Daphnia pulex: one gene and its partner. The protein of the gene in region 2 binds, or shares a complex with, the protein of the main gene of each other region. Links are inferred from orthologs where the notes say so. Each region holds a gene or a part of one and is shown on either strand. Other genes may lie near its edges. The genes, in order: vacuolar protein sorting-associated protein 72 homolog and mortality factor 4-like protein 1.

Evidence for each region.
Region 1: mortality factor 4-like protein 1 (region 2) and vacuolar protein sorting-associated protein 72 homolog share a complex: the UniProt entries of both Drosophila melanogaster proteins name them as parts of the tip60 chromatin-remodeling complex. The link is inferred for Daphnia pulex from reciprocal best matches to the Drosophila melanogaster genes MRG15 and YL-1.

The regions. Positions count from the first base shown.
Region 1 is NC_060028.1:9,606,385-9,618,054, forward strand, and holds vacuolar protein sorting-associated protein 72 homolog, read right to left. Parts: upstream 6,824-11,670; 5' UTR 6,666-6,823; exon of another isoform or gene 6,608-6,665; 5' UTR 6,542-6,607; coding exon 6,399-6,541; intron 6,340-6,398; coding exon 6,210-6,339; intron 6,153-6,209; coding exon 5,893-6,152; intron 5,831-5,892; coding exon 5,429-5,830; intron 5,360-5,428; coding exon 5,068-5,359; 3' UTR 5,012-5,067; downstream 1-5,011. Other genes in the region: uncharacterized protein LOC124210055, read right to left, coding at 4,186-4,619, 4,694-4,820; uncharacterized protein LOC124210054, read left to right, coding at 7,533-7,602, 7,733-7,882, 7,950-8,047, 8,120-8,241, 8,301-8,454; plexin domain-containing protein 2-like, read left to right, coding at 9,828-9,903, 10,111-10,320, 10,380-10,545, 10,610-10,709, 10,786-11,052, 11,116-11,251, 11,325-11,658. UniProt on the Drosophila melanogaster protein: Part of the Tip60 chromatin-remodeling complex which is involved in DNA repair. Upon induction of DNA double-strand breaks, this complex acetylates phosphorylated H2AV in nucleosomes and exchanges it with unmodified H2AV.
Region 2 is NC_060018.1:5,686,073-5,698,127, reverse strand, and holds mortality factor 4-like protein 1, read right to left. Parts: upstream 7,533-12,055; 5' UTR 7,441-7,532; coding exon 7,389-7,440; intron 7,325-7,388; coding exon 7,210-7,324; intron 7,145-7,209; coding exon 7,049-7,144; intron 6,976-7,048; coding exon 6,824-6,975; intron 6,709-6,823; coding exon 6,584-6,708; intron 6,517-6,583; coding exon 6,415-6,516; intron 6,327-6,414; coding exon 6,235-6,326; intron 6,103-6,234; coding exon 6,000-6,102; intron 5,931-5,999; coding exon 5,861-5,930; intron 5,800-5,860; coding exon 5,715-5,799; intron 5,644-5,714; coding exon 5,559-5,643; 3' UTR 5,356-5,558; downstream 1-5,355. Other genes in the region: digestive cysteine proteinase 1-like, read right to left, coding at 7,727-7,911, 8,033-8,092, 8,164-8,379, 8,479-8,524, 8,586-8,686, 8,751-8,965, 9,030-9,225, 9,292-9,445 and 5 more; probable 28S ribosomal protein S26, mitochondrial, read left to right, coding at 10,747-10,961, 11,022-11,283, 11,342-11,512; histone-lysine N-trimethyltransferase SMYD5-like, read right to left, coding at 11,555-11,963, 12,024-12,055. UniProt on the Drosophila melanogaster protein: Part of the Tip60 chromatin-remodeling complex which is involved in DNA repair. Upon induction of DNA double-strand breaks, this complex acetylates phosphorylated H2AV in nucleosomes and exchanges it with unmodified H2AV.

The DNA of each region.
Region 1 (11,670 bases), on a different chromosome or scaffold from region 2:
GGAGGAATGATCGAAGCAGACTGGGGGAGAAGTTGGAATGCAGCTCGCAGTCAGCCCATCCTGGCCCTAAAGACTGTCAAACATCAACACAGCAGTTGGTTTCTCTACTACACACGAGATAGAAAGGAGGGGGTGGGGAGCGTGCGTGTGTCAGAGAGAGTGGGACGAGCTTTTTTCTAGCTGCTGCTCTCCCCTTTTTCTTCTGTACGCAATCAACATGGCGACTGGCTAAAGTAATCCGACACTGTAGCCTCTCCCCCACTCAGCTCCCCCAGACGCACGCACGCTACTCCCCTTTCCTTCTTTTTTTCCTTTCCACACATGAGTCATTGCGCGTCCTGCCTGTTTGTTATATTCCCTTTTTTCTTGAAAAATAAAAGCAAAACTTTCCTACTGGAGCGACAAACCACACCGGAAACCTTCATGGTCTCGAACGTCAATAACCGAAAATTGACAGACGAACAATTGTCGTCGTCTGCTTTGATTAAAAAACAAATGAAAAACACACAACAACTTTCCAAAATGATAAAAACACGTGATTCTATACTAAAATTCTCACTGTCATTGTCAAATCGTGGTGGTTTTCTAATTTCATCAGTAAAAAAAAACTAAACAATAAAGGCAACTTTCCAAAGTTTCACTGAATGTGTGTACAGTGTGTGTAAAGTTCAATCAACCGGAATTGTCTCAAACAAGGCCACTCTCCCCCCCCATTATTATTTGTTTCTACAATTTTCTCCAAAGGGAAAAAAGAAACAATTATAAAACAGAAAACAGCAGACCTTTGAGGAGACTAATATCCAAAGCGTAGTAGATAACTAAAACAGTCGTCGCTAGAAGCATAGGAGTGAACATCAATAGACAATTCCGCCGAAACAATCGTGATAATTTAAAAGGATATCACCGCCGCTTCCGCAGTGGGAGGAAACCACACCTTTGTCGTTCGTTTTTTCCCTCTTTTTGTTCAAAATTATTTTCGTTCAAAAATTAAAAGGGCCACTGTATAAAATCCAGGCTTGTTTTTAAAAAAACTGCCACACACACACGCACAACACTTTTGGTGATTGTCGTGAGTGCACACTCAATTTTCCATCGTTCACTTGTGTCTCTGTCTATACTGCCGAGCTGTAGTGGGGCAATAATATATAACCAAACGCGGCTCTGGCCGGCTCTTGACTGATACAATATAACGGGGCGCCGACATACGGCGGAAAACAACGCCCGATGCAATGAACACACAGGCGGTGCACACACACAAACAGCAAAGGGAGGAGGAGGAATATAAATGTGTCCACACCGACGACTGACGAGACCGTGGGGGTTGTGAGCTCTTCCGACTTTTATGTGATCCTGTGTCTCTTACACTCTCAAGTGGAAGAGAGGGGAGTAGTACCGGATCCAGCTGGGGGAGAGAACGTGCACAGATTCACGTCTCCCTCTGCCGTGAGTCAAAAATAGGATCTTTTTTAGACGGAGGAGCGCCATGACAGACTTTCAACTGATCGATCTGTCTCCCTTTCGTCTTTGTCGTCCCCCCTCCTATTAGTACAGCTGTGTGTGCTAGCTAGACACTGTGACTTGAACAACAGCTTCCATTTGAAATGGAAGAAAATAACAAAAGGCAGAAATGACTCGACGTCAACGCCCAGTTCACGTTTTTCTAATGATTTGACAGACCCATCGTTCCAATCGTTAAATTAGATTCAAATTGAATTAAAGAAATTGGGGTTGATTCGACGGGACTCGGAGGCGATTCACGATATTTAACGGATTGGTTCCGAAACTATGCGAAATTAGTCAAACGGAATCACGCCGATATCTAGTCCACATCAATATACGTGCAACTCGCACGTAGAACACAAGTTTTCCCCGATAACGTGTGTGTGTGTATACGAGACACAGCAGCACGCCGAGTTATTTATAAACTCTACCGTGGAAATATTTTTGTTTCATTTTGTTTCTTTTTTGTTTGTTGGCGTTAACTTGTTGGCCCGGTTCGCATCGTCGAGTAATTTTTGTTTTTCTCTTTCCCCCACCAGAAATATTTCTCAATTCTACAATTGACACGGCCATCAATGAAAAAATGTCGGTTACACGGCTCTATAGCTGCTATAGCTCCGGTTGTTTTTTGTTTTTGAGAGAAAAAGAGAAAAACAAAAGAGATGAGGCAACGAGACTTTCAAAAAGAATTTTAGCAAAACAATAACACAACCGGTCCCGCGACTGCTGGTTGGGTTTTGTTTATCCTGTCAAGACTTTTCTCTATCTCCGATCCATCACCGTTTTTCTTTCATTATTTTTTTTCCAGCATCACTGTGAAAACACGACATTAATAAGACGATGGTTTCCAGATGTTCCAAATGGCTCTCCCCGCTCTCCCCCGTTATACTTTAAATGCTCGTCGGATCAATAAATTGTTGTTATTAGATCCGGTGACGCAATAGCAGAAAGCAGACAACCTGATCTTTATTTCCAGTTGAGCTGCCTAGCAGACTATTATTAAATCTTTTCATAAAAAGGTTAAAATTGTATTTTGCAAGGGTTTCTTACAAGATGGTAGGATGGTCGGTCTGTTCCACGGACGATTGGAGAGTAACCAAATTAACGATAGGAGCATCACGAGCACTGAATTGACTACTATTTTGATGATGGAGTTGAAACGATGTTATCCCAGTTGCCATTGGCTGCCCTACCATAACGACTACAAACTACTAAAAAAACTACCGCACAACAACAAATGTTGGTCACGCTTTGAACGTGGCCAGTAGTAATTGATTTTTTCGTCGAGCTGAATTTAGCAAACATTCAACAAGGACGAAGGGGGCTAACGAAATGAAGCCTTTGCGAAACTGGGCAGCTGTTTCGCTCTCGCAGGAGCGTCCATCAAACGGGGTCCCGCAGCAACCTTTTTTTTTTTGTATTTTTCGCTCTAATGCAGCATCAACTCGCTCTTTCTTCTTACTGGCTATCTATAAATAATTAAAGGAGGAGAGAAGTATAGCGGCGGAAGGAGTATAGCGGGTGGGCCGCGCCAGCTGCCGATAGGGCGGGTCCGGTTGAAACCCCCCAAAAATTCTTTGGCAAAGACTGAGATGTCAATCGGCGTCGTCGTGCAAGAGAGTTTGACACGGTGTATATTTATTTCTAGGCGATCGGCAGTTGTGAAAATGACGGATTGAAATGGAATTGTGCTGGAAGAGTTGACAGTTCAGTTTCCCCTATAGGACCAGTCCACATACCGACAGTTGCTGCCCAGGCCGAAAGTGGCGGTGGTTCAAGTTGATAGTCGTCATCGTCGGCCATCTTTGACGTTCACCCAAGTGCCAGCCAGCCAGCAGCAACCCCCGTGAGCTTTTTCGTACACGCACAGCTGGGCTGATCCCGCACCAACAGGGGGGGATCTCCTCAAAAATTCCCGAGCCGCTGACACTCTTCTTATCTCACATTCGGTGGCAGATAAAAGACGACCGCGAACCGCTGCTCTCAGTTGCGTCACTTTCAATTCGCACTACACACAGAGCAAGAAAATCATCTACGGTACACTCTATTTCCGTTCTATTTTTTGAAACGCTCCTGGCGAGATAAGGTCCAACAACAACTCACCGGACTATCTTCAGCAAGACGCCCCGAGTATGTACAACGCGCGGTCGTTACAGAGCCGACTGTTGTCTCTCTTGTATTGATCACGCTGCAACGCGCATGACCCGAAAGTGCACATCCGTCACAGGGGGGTTGTTGGCTGTCGTCGTCGTCGAGTTGTGTACATGCGCAGCATAGAAATAAGTAAATGAACTTGCCACTATCAAGTGCACGACTGCACGGGGCTGCACATTTCACGCAACTTAAAAGAAAAACACTTCTAATATAATAATAACGGCGTTTTGTGCTGGGACAAGGATGACCGAGAAGTTCTTCGTTTTCACGATTGTCCGACCGGATGATTTACCGTCCAACTGCTGCGTGTTGTTCTTGTCAACACGAAACCGCAACTATACTCGTCTGTTGTTTTTTGGGTTGAGCCCATAGTACTATATAGACAACACAGAAAAAGGGAGTGGTTATTTCCGTTATATTACATATTAGACTTATCGTGAGATAGGGGGGGGGGAAACGGACATTCCTTGTATTGCAACACCCGGAATCGGTGAAAAGGTCAACGCGCCGTATCAAAAAAGAAAATAAACCTTAATTTGAAAACGAATTGACGGGAATTCGGTTGCGCCGACTATTCGACTGCTGTCGGCGCTGTTTCATAGCGTTCAAAATGGCTTGGAGGAAAGAGTGGCGAAGTAGGTCAGCCGGATTGCGTGATGCAACGCATTCGGCATCAACCCATCCGCCGTGAATTTCACGGCAGACCAGGCCGTTGGTGCAGGGACAGAGGTTCAAATAGACGTGATGTTGTTCATGTGATGGATCAACAAGATTTTGAGTGAGTCGACAAGCTTCGCCCGTCTGACGCAACGGCAAACAGAACCGGTGCAGACGGGACCCCGTAGAGCGGACGCAGCACTCGTCTGCAGAGCAATCCTCGGAATTGCGACACTCTCCGCCTGCCGCTTGATGAACTGGACAAAAGATAAGAGGCTTTAATGTTTTGGTTGAATGCTGACGTCTTGCTAACAATGGAAAAGACAAAAATGAGCTGTTCAAATTATTTTTGGAAACACATTTTTAAAATGGCTGATTTTACCTGCAGTCCACCAATTAGGAACAAAACGAGTAGCTCCGCTGTAAGGAACCAACTGCTGGGTGACTAATGTCAACTGAATTAGTAGTAGAGCAGCACAATAGTACAAGTTTTGAAGTTTAAAGAACATGGTATACGTCTTGATCGCCTTCCGGTTTCATCATCACTGCCAACTTATTTGTCGGCAGGTGTAGCAAGACGCTTTTGATAGGATTTAACCTATGAATAATTCATCGATAACATTTGCTAGTCTGACAAAGTTCGTATGAAACACAAATCGAGTTGAAAGAAACCCTAAATTGTCTAATGGTCGAAAGAAAATATCAAAAAATGTCCATTTTATTCATGTCGGTTGCAAAAAATGAGGAGAATTTCGTTCATATCGTCGGTGTGGAGTTATTCGAGTTGGAGGGTTTGACTGCTGGAACTGGCGTCGATGCAGGTGCTGAGTTTCCCTGCGCGTTGACCTGTTGAGCGCGAGCGGCAGCTAGAGCGGCGAGTCGAGCTTGGCGGTACTTTTGACGCCATTCCTTCCAGCGGCCGATCTCCGGATCGCTGGCGTCTCCTTTCACCTCCAGCTGCTGGCAATAGGCCTCACGTAAAATCCGGAAGGCCTGTAGAGTGCCGTACGGCAGCTGAGTCACCGGATCAAAGTATTTGGCTCTTTGCCTGAAAAGAGATATGATAAACGAATGATATTTCCCTTTCATCTAAGAGAAGACGATCACTCAAACCGACCTGGTGATAGGACAAAAATTCTTTTGAGGTGGAGTGACTTTCGTCCGACTGAAATTAGCCTCCAAGACACTGTCATTCGAAAACGTAACGAAAGTTCTTTCACAACACTGCTTGCTGTCGACTGTGGCTACCGTGCCATTCTCAACAACTGGATTATCTTCTTTTTCCTCATCTTCTTCGACATTAATTCGCTCGGCTTCCGGGTTGACTTCCTGGATCAGAGGCATTGACGTCGAGAGGTAACGAATTGTTGGTCCAGTAGGAGCCTTTTTCACGACCCTAGTTTTCTTTTTCTCCAGTTCAAGTTGGTGATACTTTTCCAATGATTGAATGTTAAGCAATTCAGTCTCTTTGGCTTCTTCTAGAAGCTGTTGTTGGGTTAACTTTTCAGAATTGTCCCTTCTACATCATAATAAATGATTGGTTTGAAACATTTCTAATGAAGAATTATTTTTAATGCTAACCTGTTGTGTTTTCTTTTCCCTTTTGTTTCTCTCTCCCTGAGTCTTTGTACAGTTTCAGCTGATTTCAATACAGTTGTTTGCCTTACTGCCTTCTTTTCTCTGGCCTGTGAAGGAATTTTTGGCTTTCTGGCATATTTCGACCTGACCTTCGGGACTTCCACAGGAACTTCTGTTTTTTCTCCAGCTTTTGCTATTCTTTCTGTCATTTCATCAGCATTTTTGTCACCCTTTAAGCGTTTGCTCGAGGAAGCTTTAGGCTCCTAAGAAAATTTTTAAAAATGATTTCATTCGTTAATTCTGTAGTAGAATAGACATACCTTGTACGCTTTGGTACTGACTACACCTCGTTTTCTTTTAGTGCCCTCATCTTCATGATCAGAGATAGGTTCATCATTTTCATCAATGCTGAAATCTGAGTCTACTACGTCATCCTGGTCCTCTTCCGCTCTAGACCAAAAAAAGATTTGTTTTATTGATGTAATATACAAATTTAGACTTTAAATTACTTGAAAACGAATTCATTGTCATCTTCTTCATCATTGAATCCACCGTAAGTGCTTTTATAGAAATCGTCATCCTGTTCTTCTTCCTCCAGTAATTTTGACAAGCGATTGCCCGCATTTACACGCCGTTCACGTTGTAGCGACATGATGAACTTTAACAGATAGACGTTATTTTTTACTAAACAAACACTATGAGAATTCAATTACTAGATCTGAGAACACAAAGTTCACGTTAAAATTACACAAAAAAATTAGTTTTTTCTAAACAACCTCAACTGGAAAAGCAGACGCCAACGCCACAGAAAGCCATCTATTGACTAAAACCAAACTTAATTCTTGCTAAATCACAACGCTAGGTGGCGTTATATCCTACAGAAACCTTTCCGCCTTTCCTTTCATTCTTTCTACTTTGCTTCTCCTGGATTTAGACGTACTGTACCTAAAAAAAGAAATTCTGTCTCTTTCATTTTATATTTGTTCTTCAATCTTCATTCAGTCCTTCCCCTTTAAGACTGAAGTTAGTTACTAAGAAAAAGAATTGAAAACACTTCACCTTGTTTGTTATAACGTTTTGTGTTGAGGAACCACTTTAAAGAGAATATTAAAATTGTTACAGACTTCAAGCTCTTTATCCCGATCCTTATCCAGGTTGATGAACACAATGAAAAAGCAAAAGACAAGATCACACACATTCATGACATGACTATAACATTTTTGTTTAAATGAAGGTACGAATTATTCTGCTGCATTTTATCAGTAAAATTGCCAGTTCCAACCAGTTCCAACCATTTCACAAATTGACCCTTAAAATATTGCCTCAGTGGGTATCGCTACTTTGCCAGTTCCTCACCATTTACGTATAATTAAATTTTACAATTGTTATTTTTCAAAATCAAAAGTAAAACCAATTTTCCCGCCGGTGCATGCTATTTCTGCCGCACGGAAGTAAGCTTTACTTCTGGCATTCATCTGAAAGAACGAAAAAATCACCTGAGGCTAGAATAACCCAGAGAAAGTCATTGACAGATGGAAAACTCAGGTGTTTCCGTACAAAGACCGGCATGCAGTTAGTCTTGAAACCAGTTCAGCTTGACTGACTCCGGTGCCATCTCACCATTTCTTTGAAAGCTTTATCAAATGTTTGTCCGTGATTTTGTGCTCTTGTCTCTGACATTCTTATTGTGTCTGTTCACGTCAAGAGGAGAAGGTGAGAATCATTAAAGCGTTTTAACTTGATATGTTTTTGTTAAGAAACTACGGAATCTTGCAAGAATTACGTCATCCTACTAGTCTAAGTCAAGTAATTTCAATTATATTACCACTTTTCCCTTCAACTGCAGAATTATGGCGGGAAGATGTGACTGGGCGTATGAACATTGGTGTGACGGCTTCGGGGTTCGATCAGATCCGGCTAGACTGCGGTAGCAACAATTTTCAAGTGGTAGTAGAGACACTGGCCGATTTTAGAGGAGTCATATACACCAGAGGTACAAAACAAGAGAAAATATCGATTTAAAATTTAAATTTTCGTTTCTAAATTTTTCTCTGACTTAGGCAGCTTCTATTCACGAAAGGCACCGTGCTTTCTAGATGCTAACGGTGGCCGTCGTTTTCGGCTCAAAATACCATACGATCAGTGCAATGTTGAGGATGTACGTGCAATAAGAATAACGAATGTATCAACACGTCTAACGTCTCATGTTTCTAATGTGCAATTTTTTTAGGATGGAGAAAAGTTTCAAGTGACTCTCATCTTACAGCATGATAAGGAGCTCATTATGCCAGGAGACGGAGCTTTTGCACTGCAATGTGATCTGTCAGCCAAAGATTCAAAATCTTTTAAAGTGTAAGATTTCAAAATGGTTTCGACGTCATTAAAAGTACTCATAATTCATTGATTTGCAGATCTGCCGTGTCCAGTATCAGTTTAGCTGATCCGGATCCTTCCGGAAAAGATGTTCCAACTCATTTGAAGTCCACTGTGAGCGCTCCAAACGTAGTTGTCTTCAAGCCGTCCGATATCAGACCAAGAAAGTCACCGCAAAGGATCGAGCTATAATTGTGAATATTTGTTTTTTGATTGTGTACATCCCACATTGGATGTCATAGACGGGGATCATCTACACTAAAATATAAAAATAAAGACAAACTTTTATTTCAGGCGAGATTATTTTGTTATCAGTGATCAATGCAGGAAGATCCTAATGAAGCGTCCCAATGCTGGGTATTTTCTGTGTTGCGAAATAAAGGAAATGCAGCACCGTCTACGTCATAACTTTTACAGATGATTGCGCAGTATCTTGCAATAATAGAATTAACGAATTCAGTAAATTCATTTCAGCTTTCTTACGCTGTTTAATGAAAAATAAAAATTTTACCCGTTATTAAATATTCTTGTCCTATTTTCATTTGAGCAATTTAAAATATGAGAAACCGAGTTAGTTACGAAAGAATTGAGCAACAACAGTGCGAGGCGGAAGCAAAGAAGGAGTGCTGGTGAAACACAATGACATGTGGCAACCCTGTAGCCCATTAAACCCTACGGAGAAAAAGGGCCCGACGAATTGATGAAGCCCACTGCTGCTGTCTACAAGTGGTCTGTAACAAGTGTCACTCTCGAAAAAGGAAAAATCTATTGCACCGTGGAGTCCACGGCGCTCTAATGTCAAAATATGCTATTGCGCCGTGGATACCAGGTGGCGCGGACGAGCTAGTTCCAGCAGGGGTATGGAGAGGTCTCTCTATGCCCATGGGTTCCAGCTTTGTTATCGCAAATTTTTTTCACATGTACCATAGTAGGTAAATCTAATTTGCACTGGACAACCATTGGGCATCACGTGTTGATTAAGTCTTATTTTAAGCCCTTTGCAGAAAGCGAACTATGTGTTCCAAAATTAGCGGTATATGCCGCTAGCTAGCGTATACTAACATAATAACTGTAGTTGCTGGACATTTCAATGCAGGTCCGTTTTCTTTTTGAAGGTTAAAAGGGTCGACACTTGTATATACAATTTGTTTTTGACTAGGTCGATCACAGCTGACATAATTGCTATTATGAGCAGCCGCAGTAGGAGTGACTGTGTTAAAGCCACAAGGTGAATCTTGGGAGGCAGTATTGGCTATTGGGAGAGCATGCTTTACAGTCCTTATCCTATCAGTCCTTATCTATTGGATGTGCGAGTGTCGGCAATTATTTCATAAGGAGCACCAGCCTTACGACACAGGGTTACTTTAGTTAAACGTGACGGTGTGTGTGCTAAACTCTACGGTGCAATAGCATATTTTGACATTAGAGCGCCGTGGATCCACGGTGCAATAGCACAAAGTGACATTAGAGCGCCGTGGATCCACGGTGCAATAGCACTATGTGACACTAGAGGGCCGTGGACTCCACGGTGCAATAGGCGCAACCCTCGAAAAAATACACCGAGAATGGCGTCTGAAAGCAGGAAATTTAACTGGTGTGCTGTGTTAGTTACTCTCACCCTCATCGGCATTTGCACAGCTGGTATATAAAAATTATACTTTGTGACGTTTAATGTTTTGGGTTTATGGCGCTATAACATTTGCTCGAGAACGAGGAAAATATTGTGTTGAACTTAACGACAGGCTTCATCTGTACATATTTTTATTGTCGGTTTAATGGTTTCACTTTGCCTCAATATATTGCCACATTGGTTTACTTTGTAATTGGTAAAATGTATTTTTTTGACAGATGACTATTTTCTGTACGAGTCAGACGAATTTCCCAGCAGTTGGCAGCAAGAGCCTGTGATTAAGCTACTGACCAAACGACAAGTGGATCCAAAGGAAAGCAAAGATGCAAAGAAACCTGTGACCATGAAGCCCCAACCAAATTCAAATCCAGAAAATTCTTCAAATCAGAAACTAAATAGCCCACTTCTTGACTTGCCACAGGGAAACGGTAAGTTTGTGTTAATAAATATGCCAATTAATTTAAAATTATCTTGAGTTTCCTATTAGCTTCAGACATTCAGAGCAATACTGACACTACGACTATTCCTATTACAACTTCTACACCATCCACCATTACACCAACTCCAACTGAAGTGCTACCAACTGTGGATTATGATGGTCTAAACATCACTGTTAAAAATGTCACTCAAGACTACCATCGATATTACAACAGGTAATAACCATACATCAATTACGTCAAAATTGTCAGTGATCAATTCATTATTTTCTTTTTCAAGCTCCACTTATCCTGAAAAAGGAATGCAATTTTGGATTGATTTTGACAAGGAAAATGCATCTACTCACGATATGTTGTCTCAATCACATCGTCGTGCCGCTGTAAGAATTTTTAATTGGCAATCACTAACTCGGTTACAAATTAGATTGTTTTCGTTTTTTTTTTATTTATTCACAGACGGTTCCGCTCTCCTTCGATTTTCCCTTCTATGGGCACTGGGTGCGTAACATTACCATCGCTACTGGGGGCTTTCTATATACTGGAGACTACGTTCATTCTTGGTTGGCTGCTACACAATACATTGCCCCGTTGATGGCAAATTTCGACACAAGCATGAGTAACTACTCCACTATTAAGTACATGGATAATGGAACGGCGTTTTCAGTTCAGTGGGACAAAGTTGCTCTTCAGGATAAACCCGATGGAGGCAACTTTTCATTCCAGGTATAATGACTTTTACATTCTTATTCGAATAACTTTTATTTACTCGTGTTTTTGTAAACGCAGGCAACTTTATTAAAATCTGGTGATATTATCTTTGCGTATAAAGACATTCCTATTCCAGTTAATTCAATTGGCGATGATGCCCATCCTGTCAAAGTGGGCGTTTCTGATGCTTATATCATCGACCGAACCATCTTTTGTGAGTTTGTGGTGTCCGACTTCCTGTTTTCTATCTAATCATTAAAGCAAAATCTAACGTTTTTGGTTTGCAGTTGTCCGCCGGAAGACGATTTACGAGTACCATAAGGTAGACAAGAAAACAGAAGAGGTCACATCTGATTCGGCCATTTATTTCACCGCTCTGCCTACATGTGTTGCATTCAATTCCTGCGATTCTTGTATTTCAAACACCATTGGTTTTGATTGTGTTTGGTGCTCCACGGCTGAGCGTTGTTCTGACGGCATGGACCGCCACCGGCAAGATTGGCTGATCAAGGGTTGTGACAAAGTCTTCGTTGATAACATTGGCAACTGCAGCTTGCCACCTTTAGTTCCTTCAAGTACTCCGCCAATGGAAACAACCATTCCCACTCCTGCACCTACAAAGTAATTGATATA
Region 2 (12,055 bases):
TTCTTCTTGATGGCGTCCATTTCTGCTGGGTTTGGTTTGGCGACTTGTAGAAAATCAAAAACTAAAAATCGAAAATGAACCAAACAAGGAAAATTAATGTTGATGGACTATCACATTTCCACATGGGGTAAGAAAGAAAAAAAAGGGAGCGGGAGGCATGAAGGAGTCCAAGACGAAATAACACACAGCCACGAACCCTATTTCAAAATGTAGAGCATCAACGCAACGATATTTCCGACCTCCAGCTGAGACACTGTGTAGTACTGGCTATTCTTAACCCGCCCCTATCTGGCTCGGAATTCTTTCACTGGGCCGTGATGCGAAACTCTTCCCCCCCCCCTCTCCTCATTCATTTCCCAGTAAATGAAATTTCTCAAAAGTGTTAATTAAAAAAGAAAAACGAAATTCGAAAAAAAAAGAAAGAAAATCCATTAAAAAACAAAATGAATCATTTCGAAATGGGGATAATAGAATCCCGACATAGAGTCCTTGACATAGACACGTTTAGCTGTGCTGCATAATAATAAAAAAAAAGAGACCCCGATTCCCGCAGAGAGAGAGAGAGACGAAATCGAGTCTGGCTGGATGGCGCCCGCGGGACGGATCTCTTTTTCTATGTACCGCGCCAAATATGGCGAAGGAAATGGTCAGACTTGGAGACCCACGCTGCTCTTTCGGATCGTTTTGTTTTCCTTTTTTTTTTTACTAGCTTCGATCGAACGTGAAGAGATTTGCATAACTGGACGCCGAGACAAGGTCAAGTCCAACTGGATTGCCCAATCACATCACGTTACTACCCTCTATACAACTAAACCCCATTACCTTAATGGAAATCCAATCCGAATGGTCGACACTAACTCGCGATACAAATTCACTTTAAGTGTGGCAATAGCAAATTGTTCAAAAGTGGAAACAGTGAAAATCAGAAGGAGAAAAGAAGAAGAAGAGGAAACGTAGTAAATTTGAAATCAAAAAAGAATCAGCAAACAACTCACCTTGGAAGTTGTGTGAGGAGCGAGAAACCCGTCAGGCGGCTACGGCGACTGAAGAGCAACTGTTCTAGCTTGGACGTTCTAGCCGACTAACAAACAACTTGGGAGCCAACTGTGGAGTCGTGTAGGACCCCGGCCGAGCAGCTCCTATAGCCGCCCGTTTTTGTTGGTACCCTCCTTCTTCTCTCCTGACTTCTTTGATTCCCACCTCCCCTCCTGACAAGCTCTACGCCCGTCCTTGCAAGAAGCAACCCGGTTCTTTTTTCTTTCTCTCTCTCCACAATCCCGCCCGTACAAACGTTTTCTGCCCGCCTACACACTCTCTCCCAACCCTCTGCGTTGGTTCCAAAAAACCTCTCCTTCGCTCTGTGTGTTATTGCGGTACGCACGTCCATTTAAAAACAGAGAAAAAACACTCTTTATTTTTTGTGTGTGTGTTTGTTTCCACACTCGACATATTGATCTAATATATTCAGATGTATCTGACCGAGTGAAACACCACCCGGAGCATTTGATTGCGTTATGCATTTTTTTTTGCCGACGAGAGTACATACAAGATAGTCAACTCATACCAAGAATATCAATTGTAATGTTTATTTTGATTGACGCTTGTAATAATGATTCTCGAGACACGAAAGAGAAATGATTGAACACACACACTTTTAAGAGAGTAAAAAGCGTCCTCAATATGAAGGTAGGTCAAAATGCAACTGGAAAGTGAAAATATGTTTACGGGAATTGGGCTACACCGCAAAAGTGACACGAAACATTCCAACGGGGGGCGATGGGGGAATGATTTTTTTCTTTTTTTCCCGCAACTTGATCCGCCGACTTGCCGACAAGTCGCAACGATTACGACATTTCAAAATTCAGCAGGCGCGTGCAGCTTATAATCTTCTTCTGATAAAAGACTACGACCGTGCCGTTTTATAATGCAATAAGGTGGTGGCTTATTCAATTTTATGTAATCCATTCTTGACGTTTGCCATTTGTCGCACCGCTATGAGACGCGGGGTGGATTAATAAACCGGACCGCGGGATGACGTCAGTCTTCACTTGTTTTTTTTTCGTGAGTGAGAATTCAGTTCAGAAAAAGTGTCGGATGAATCGCAAGTAACTCGAGGCACGGTATTCATGTTCACGCCATCATCTGTGGTTTTGCAATCGTCGTTAATGAAACAATAGATTCATTAACCTTGTACCTAAGTAGAATCGCTCAGCCGGAGCAGCAGCAGCCGGAGCAGCAGCAAAAGCTCCGTGCTGGATTCCAGAGGTGACGGGAGTCACGACTTTTTCGCGAGGTCGCCGACAATCCGACGACTACGAAACGTAACAGAACAAACGGGAGAGAATACTCAAAGAAATGGACGTTTCATAAACAAACAAAAAAATAATTCCCGAAATTCTTCAAAAGGGAAAATCGATACGACCTTGCCGATCCTTGCCACTGGTCATTTTTTGACACGCAAGTGTTTCCTTCCATCGCAGAGAGAGAGACTCACGTCGTGTAAAATGCTGTTGGAATATATCTGTCTATCTCACTCTCTCCGATTGGTCACGACCTTTTACGTTTTATGTTTGGCGCCACATGTACCGGTCCCGCCAGGTTTTTGTACCGTATTGAACGCGCCAAAAGAGATATATATGATACACGTCCGAATCATTTTTGCATAACTGACACTTTCAATGCCACCGGTTGATTGCGTCGAGTACTACTTTGGAGCGTAAGAAGAACACACGCGACAAATATTGGGGTCAGTCGCAACATTTGAAAAATGAAAATTGAACACGCAAAATTGAACTAGAGAATTTCGCTGATTCGTCGCAACAAACCAAAACCAAGCGCCACCGCAATCCTGTACACAGTTGCGCAGTGAGGGACGGACGTGGGTGCGCTCACACACCAAAAATGGACCGGGATGTCGAGAGTCGCTTCCATCGTTCCGTTTGTTTTGCTTTTTTTTCTCGGGACTCCCGAGACCTGCAAAAGATCGTGACGACGTCGATTGGCGTCGGTTGCACGTTGCAGACCGATTGAGTTTACATATGATGGAATGCTTACACCCTCCCACCGTCTCTCTCGAATTCGCATTTTCAACCGCATAAACAAGAAGAAACCGAAGGAGAAAAGAAAAATTCTTCCACGCTGCCGTCGTGTAGAAAAATCCCGGCGTCGTCCTGGTCGTACACCTTGGCACCGATTTGTTTGTTTGACTTTTCTTGTTTTTTCATTTTCCTCCTTCTTTATTCTTCGCTAGACAGAAACGGGAAAAAGGATCGGGATATTTTTCTCTCTCTCTCTCACTCCATTCTCGGTCCCAGAAATAGGTCGGGCTCAATGCGCGCGCGCGCCAACAGCCGGCCATGCTGCCGCCGCTGCCCGCTGCCGCTGCCGTATTGGTTTACCCTCAACCGAAAGAACGAACCCCCCCATATAAATGAAGAGAAGGAGGTGGAGGTTCTCTTTTCATTCGGCGTCGATAACCATGTAGGGAACACAAGAGAAATGGAAATCACAGCACACGTTCAAGAGAAATAAAATCCCAGTCAAGGCGACGGCCATGGATTGTCCGTCCAGTCGTGTGGCTCCTTTTGATTGGGAATTTTTCTTTTCTTCTTTACAGTATGGAAAAGAAAATTCTACGACGGTGAATTATTCTTCGCAGCGTCGTTTTTCCTCTTTGTCGAATCACATACAATCGCTCGTATCAAAAGGAGGAGAGAGAATGACAATAAAAAGATCACAACTTTCTAATTCTTCCCAGTCATACGATGGCAAAACGCCCGAGTGAAAGGTGTGTGTGTGTGTGTACCAAACGGTAGTCGCTGCAACTGCATCAGTAACACACACACACGGCAGACACGCGAGAACCATTACACACCAGTTCAGAGAGGTACGGTATAATAGAAAGCTAATGAGAACGCTCGATTTCCATCGTAACGGTCGCATTGCGTGGCGCTTCACGGACGGTTGCACGCGTTGGCTCGGGCACAGCATCCAGGGATTATTAAATAACACAAGTCGAGACGAGGAGATCCTTGGTGTGATGGGCCAAACATGAAAACGTCATAAAAATGGCCCCGGCTTTTCCCCTGCCCAGTCGTTGTTGTTGTCGGAGAGACGGGCGGTTTTGGGCTTCGACCTTTATGAAAACGTCAATGCAGCTGCGGCAGTGAGCTTACTCACACGATCTGCACAGCCTTCACCTACATCTAATGACACTGACTATGACGCCCAAATATGGTCAGGAAATGTTACTTAACCCATATATGTTTTGTGTGTTTGCTTTTGATGGAAACGAGAAGGGCAAATAGAGAGAGTGTGTGGCAAAAAGGGTTCGTCACTTCTTTTTCTTTCTTTTTTGTGGAGAAAAAAAAAAAAAGGAACTTTTGGGTTGTTTTCTGATTCGCTTCCGGAATCGAGTCCAGCTGCTGCGGCTGGTCCAGCAGCCCCGGACGCTGATAGCTCAACGTCTATATTTCTCAACCGGGACGGCAAAAGATCTTCCCTCTCGTCCGTTTCAGTACAAGAAAGTTAAAACAACACAAAATAAGGCCAGCAGCACACACTACGGCGGCGGCGGCGACCGACGACGCCGCCGTAGTTTATTTCTGTACCAAAAGCGCCCGGGCTCCTCGACCCAGGAAAATCAAAAAAGAAAAAAGGTTTTATTTTTTCTTTCTTTTTAAAAGCTCCCAAATATTCTTGCCGAAAGAATTGAAACACTTCATTGAAAACAACATGAATTTGGGACTACTGACACAAATATTACAACCCTTTTAGCTCTGAGACGATTCAACTCTCTCGTGAATCATCAGCAGTCGCGTCATGATGGGAGGGTTAGAGGTCGGGGTGGATGAGGGTATTATCACCCTCGTCTTCGCTGCATCCGCCCAGTCACCGAAAAATGAAAAAAGATAGACGCAAAGACCCAAAAATCTACACGACACACTCATCTCACGAGCGTTTTGTTTTCTCTTCTCGGTCACGAACAGCTCGGCTATCATTTCAATGTTTGGGTTTAAATGACCAGCAGATAGTAAATACTGAGCGAGGAAGACGGGGTACACATAGTTGGACCGTGACGATGTGTTGTTCCCATCTCAAAAGCCCACTTTCACTGCACACACGAGTTTTGTCTATGCCAATTTGAGAGAGGATCACTACCAAAATCTAGCCGAAAATCTCTAGACACACACTCCATTCCGAGCGGATGTCGAGCCCAATGAAGGAAATAATACACGACGATTGTTCTCGACTCCCTATCCGACAAACAGGACAATTAATTGCTTGTCTAAAAACAGACCAGCTGGGTCAAAGAGATTGGCGTCATCGGTAGAATTCGCAGAACCGTAAAAAAAACCGCGTAACAATTGAATGTATTACGTTTACACGATGGCAAGTCACTGTGTTACACATGAGGCTTAAAAAAAAAAACTTTTTTCTTTCTTTATTTTTAAAGTTTACCAGATTTCAAATCGGCTCGTTTATATGTGTGAGACATTGGAAAGAAAAAAATATTTCCGACGAAAAAAAAATGAAAAAAGATACACTGACGTGGTATTTCAGCAAGCGCGGCGGTGATATTCAGCCGATGCGTTGCCATAATCCTGAGCACTGAACAGCGTCGAAGCGTTGCGTCCCATGTATCTGTCGTGATCACAGCTGCCGATGTAAATCAACGTCTTTAAATAAAATGTTTCTTTCGTTTTCAGACTTACTTTAAAAAATCTTGGAGGTGAACGTGGAGCAGTTGGATCGACTTTTCATCAAGTGGGGTATACGCCAGCATACTTCCTAGCCGGGCTGTACGATAATGTTTATTTTAAATATGTTAAATGGTGGTTTGAAATCAATTGAAACTTACTGAACATGCGTAAAAGATGGGGGGCTCCATAAATTTGGCTCATCATTTTGTCAGGGTGATTCTTCAAAATCTATAGCCATATAAAGAATCAACGTATGAACGTATAGTATATCACTGTGAATTTCACTTCATGACTTACATCAGCATATTGTAATCTCTCAAATTTATACAGCAACGAAGAACCGAGCGTTACATTGAAATATTCTTTCAAGCCGGCCATGACCTCCTGAATGGCACTCTCTCTAAAAATGGAGGAATTAAAGGAAAGAAATAAATAAAAAAAAAGTTTCTCCACTTGGTTTAGCAAATACACACAATGTATGTATGCTATTGGTATTCATTTTGCTAGCAGTAACAGCGGAATTGCGACATACTTGCTTGGGGTGGTCGTCCGGTTGCTGCTTTTGTGCTTGATGTAATCTTCTAGAATGGTGTCAACGGGCACTTTGGATGGTAAGTTCGCCAACTGTTGCGTAATTGGATGAAATGAGTTTTTGGTGACTCAGTGAAATATTGCTGGAAAGATAATATCTTTAACGTTTCAAATCACGTACTTTTTTCTGGCGGTTAATATAGTCCCAGTCATCAACAAGCCAGGGTTTCAACTCATCTGGAATCTTTATTTTCACTTCAACCTTGGATAAAAACTGTTCTTCCTATAAGTAAATGGTTTTTTAATGCTACATTGTTGAAAAGATTTAGAAAGTGTATGTGAAATCTCACTGATTCAACAGTAGAGTCAGGTCTGGTCTTCTTTCTTGAGCTTTCAGAAGATGATGCTGTACCAGCAGTGGTGGTAGAAGGTGTTGTTGTCGTAGAGGCTGTGGCAGGTCTTTTGGTGGGTTTTTCTGTTGGAATATAAGCAATTTTTATGTTATTTTTCGTAACACTGATCTTGACTGATTTCAAGGAAAGACAAATAGTCTGACAATGGCATCATGTGTACCACTTTTGACAAGGTACCTTGAAGTGATGGTGTAGAAGATCTACTATCTGTTTCTTTGCCTGATGTATTAGCATCTGACAGGTTGCCTCCACCTTTAGATGATTCTGATCTTCGGCCTGGAGGTTTGCCAACAGGGGTAGAAACACCTTTGATTTGTTTCTTTCCTTTCCTGTTCCAAAGAAATTGAAAAACCAAATAAGATGATCAATCAGCCTTAGTCGTTGATGAAAGTCAATAGTTACGATGTAGCTTCATGAGCTTTGAGGAGTTCTTTCTGTTTTTGAAGAGCTTGGTCATTGTACTTCAGCACACGGTTTTCAGGCACCCACTCATCCCAACTGTATAAACAGCAGAGGAAAATGTTATGGAAGTTTCATCAATATAAATTTCACTTTGATTTTACTTTTTATTCCAGCCAGCATAATGTATCAAGTATTTGTTCTGTTGATCCTTGAATTCTGCTTTGAGGCTTTTGGCTTCATATAAAAGCGGACCGTGAAAACAAAGAACTCGTTCCCCTATTATTTTGTTTAATCGTTTAAATTTAGTTATCCAAAGATATATTTGACTAATAAAACAAACCTTCTTTAAATTTGAATTCTGTTGCTGGCTTCTGTTGAGCTTTGGGACCCATTTTTGTTCAAAGCAGACGCTACAACTTGCTAGTTGCTACGTCACGTGACCTAGCGTTGGTGCACGTTTCATTAAAAGAACGTCAGAACGCCAAAATGCAATTTTTAAAAAGAAAAAAAAATCGAAGCACATTTTTTTTTTTTAATAGCAGCTGACAAATATTTGATAGCCACAATCAATTTTATTCAAACTCAGACGTAGAGATCCATGTTTACTGTTTTTTCCCAAGCTTTTCTATAGATTTCTACTCATGATGGGAGCAAACACAAAATTTAATGTTTGGAATCTCACATGATCACATAAGTAGGTGAAGTCGCGACGCCACAATTATTTTCTTTTTGTGACATCAAAACATACCCAGAATTTCCCCAATAAGTCGACCACGAATTTTTTACCAACCAGTATGGCTCGCCTTTTAGAATTCCATACCCTACAGCTAAAACAGCGTGGTCCAAGCTGTCTTCTCCGCTGCCTACAGTTTAAAAAAGTAATTCAAGGATGAGTGTGATGGTGCCACAGATTTCAAAGAAAGAAAGTATTCTTTTAGAAAAGGTAATTGCATGATATTATTACGAGATTTTAAAAATTATTACCGCATTCAGGATTGTAGTAAACTCCGTTGGCGTAAAAAGAAAATGCACGATGCGCAGCATCTATTTTAATAGTTTCGATAAAGAAAATTATTACCACCTGACTTCACTACAACTCCTCCGCGTTTTATTACCGATAGCAACGGAGATTGGGCCATACTTAAAGATGGCAACACGCAACGCATCGACGTCTCCTGATGTTACATTAACATAGCCTTTAATGGAGGCTACGAGAGTCGCATTGTCTACATGGCAATAACCATCAGCACCCAAGTAAGGTCCATAACTCTCCTCTGAAGGAATACCTCCGTGCTTCATCATCCACTGGTATACTCGGAAATCTTCACCACCTTTAATTGACGAACAATTATGCGAAGAAATGGTAAAATTTAAAACAAAGAACAACTTTAGAAGAAAAAGTGAAAATATATTCAAATGAAATAACATACCGTCGCAACCGTTATTGCCAAAACCCCAACTGCAATCAACAAGAGCCTAAAACAAACATATTCCCATCATTAATTTCATTGAAACAAAATATTTGATGTTAATTTACCTGTTGTGAGAGTGGAGTCAGTTTACCCGTTTTGAGGAAGAGGGCTCCTTCAAGAGTTCCTACAGTTCCAAAACTCCAACACGAACCACACACACTTTGGTCTATAATAATTGTAATGATGACATTATTTAAACAAAAATTGAATTTAAACAAAAAGAAAATTACCTTTAACAGGAGTGACAGCTCCATAAAGCCGCCAATCCATTTGCTCTGGAAGATTTTCAACATCACTCTTAGTGTAGTGGAATGTCGAGCCACCATTGAACCCATTGGAGCGCAGTTTTCCACGCATGTAACGGATTTCATCTGAAGTCCGGTCAGTCATGTGATTCGGTGCTAGCTTATAAGTTAATCCAGCGCGATTTTTTGAATGGATGAATCTACCAAAACGTAAAATGTAAGGTGGTTCGGAAAAGAAACTTGCATAAGACAATAGAATAATACCTCATATTCTGTCTGAAAATATCTTTGCGATTTTCGTGTTCAGTTGTATTTTTGTAACCCTTCTTATGATGACGGACGAACGAGTCAAATGTATCGTCCACATGCTGAGTGTGATCATGAGCGAATTCACGCATGGGGTTAAATGTGTAAATATGGTCGACACCGGGACCGGGGAATCCATGGCATTCGCCTACATCTGAAATAATAATTTAATTTACAGATGACAAAGACATTATTTTTTTTGCAATGACAACTTATTTACCGGAGTCGATCATGAATGCATCTTCATTAGGTTTTTCTGCTGTGAAGCTAGAATAATCCAGATAATAATGGTCATAATGAGAACCCAAAAGGGAGTTGAATCCTTTCATTTCATATCGAACGGGTACAGCGATTTGTTGACGAGTTCCAGCGAACTAAAATAGAATATTTCATTGCACATGGTCTGGTTATAAATATACTGTAGTTTTGAAAAAATATTTACTTGGTGCTGGAGCCACATTGTGTAGCGATTAGTTTTATCGCCGACAGAATTGATATACTCCCACTTTTCACAACTCACACCATTCATAATTTCAGTGCCAATCAGCTAAGCAAAACAACAAATTTAACATATTACTTTTATCTTTTTTCCTGTTTGTTTACTGCTGTACCTTAAAGTTTGAGATATCAGGCAAAACTCCTTGGACTTTTACTGGTTCATCAGCACTACCAGATGTTTGGAAACAATTTAGCTGATTTTTAACTGTCTCAGTGGTCATAGGGGCAATTTTCTTGGCTGTGCCATATGGTCCTTCATTTGCTAGCTGGTAGGTTTTCTCCATTCCTGTTAGTGAAAAGCAATGCAAGTGGCATGAATAATAAATAAGTAAATAAATAAATAAAAAAGTTAAAAGTAAAAAAAAAAAATCACACCTCCATAAAAATCAATTCGGCTTTTTCCACTATCAAAATCCACCCAGGCATAAAAGTTTTCGTCTATTTCAGCATATGGAAGATGGAGAACTCCTTCACTTATCTAATGGTGTGGAAAATTGAGCAATGGTCTAAGCATAATGTTTTAAATACTACTAAGTTACATAAGCTGAACTCCAGGAAGGAGGAGATGGAGAGTCTTTTGGAAAAGGTGGTTGGTTGAAAAGTTGAGGAAGTTTCCACTTTTTTATCCATGAATTTCTCTCATGTTGTGATGCAACCTCATTATCTTCTGTGCCTCCAATTGCCAACCCTATAAGATGAAAAACACAACATGTAACAATTATTAATCGAATTGCATCGTTACACGCGTATTGAGCTAATAAACAAAGAATGTTCGAAATTCTACCTATTAGAGCAAGAAACAAGAAAAGACAGCAGGATCTTCCCAGCCACGACATTTTTAGTCAGAAAAGCAACTAGCAACTGAAATCACTGAAATATGCTGGAGTAAGCAATAATGCAAAGTCTAAATTACGCCTCCTCTGAAGCGTAGCACATCTGAACTTCTGAAATCTGAAGCCTTTGGAGGTTTGGAAATAATAACAAATTACAATGTACAGAATTCGGTGTTGCCAAATCATTCATTCTTATTCGGAATATTTATACTGCAGCAGACGATGTCACGAACAGCCGGTGCTGGAGTGCAGCTTGTACACTTCGTTTGTCGTGTCATTATTGTTCATTAATTTGATAAACACAGAACTTTCAACCTTTTTTTTTATATCATTAAGATTTCGCCATGTTTGCCAGAAGTAGCAGTCGTATATTCAATGTTATTAACATCTCGTGCATACAGAGTAGAAGTGCGCGAGCATGGGTGAGGAAACCACTCGGATCACCTATGGCCAAATCGAAAATGTTCCGAATTGCTCCAAAAAAATTCATACCCGCCGATGAGAAAGCTGAAGTTAAACGCCTTTATGACAATTACTTTCACCAAATGAAGTCTTTAAGGTAATTATTCAAACTTAGATTTTTACATGGATTTTAAACCTCATTTTTACTTCGTTATAGGCACTATTTTTTTGAACAGTCTCTTGAACAAGCAGAAAGTGGAGAAGTAGCACAAATGAAACACAGATTGGAAGAAGAAGAGCATATTAGATTGATGGAAGAAAACCGTCTGGAAAATGAAAAAACAGCTAAGTTGAGAGAAGAGAAATTAAAGATCCAGGCAGAGAAAACAAGAGAAAATATTCTAGCTTCTTTGATTAATAAAGAGGAAGAAACTAGACTATATGAAATTCAAATTGAAGCTTTCCTTGAGAAACAAAAGGTATGGCTATTTGATATTTATTTCTTAATTATATCTATCTAACTATATTTTTTTTTAGGCTACCCCATTTATCCAAGCTGAAAATATTGAAAAAGCTATAGAGGAAGCACTTGCCAACCCTGTCGACTTTAATTTTGCCATTGATCTCGATGGATACGTATATAGAGGGAGAGAAACTGCGATCGAAAAAATACCAGAGGAAGAGCGAGAGAGACTGCGTAGCAATTGAATGTATTGAAAAGTGATTACATACAATATTTAGCATTGTACCTTAATCATCTTCCATGCTTTCTTCATCTTCGCTAGTCATATCTGGTTCATCAGCTTCGAGTTGGCATCGACTACAATTACAGTGAAACAAATAGTTCTCTTTCAAAATTTTTCTTCTTGAATGTCGACTTCTCGACTGGGCGCATTCATCAAGATAACTGATAAATATTTCTTCGCCTTCTTCCAAGTCTTTTGATGCTACTAAAGCTACAGTATGATTAGAAAACGGAAAAGTCGAAATACAGTTCGGTTCACAACTGTGGTTACACGCGCTCTGAATCGCAAATAAAGCCGATCCCTCATTGTTGAGAAAATCACCAGATTCAGTTTCCATTTCTTGATAAATGGTGTCAATCAATGCATCAGTTGCAGGATCAATGTCATTTTCAGAAACTTTTCGAACCCAAACGCTTTTGAAAAATTTTAAAAGTTAGTACAAACAAATTAGTACTTTATTTAAGAAAATTAACCTAAATGCGCTAGTTCCTATGCCTTGTCCATT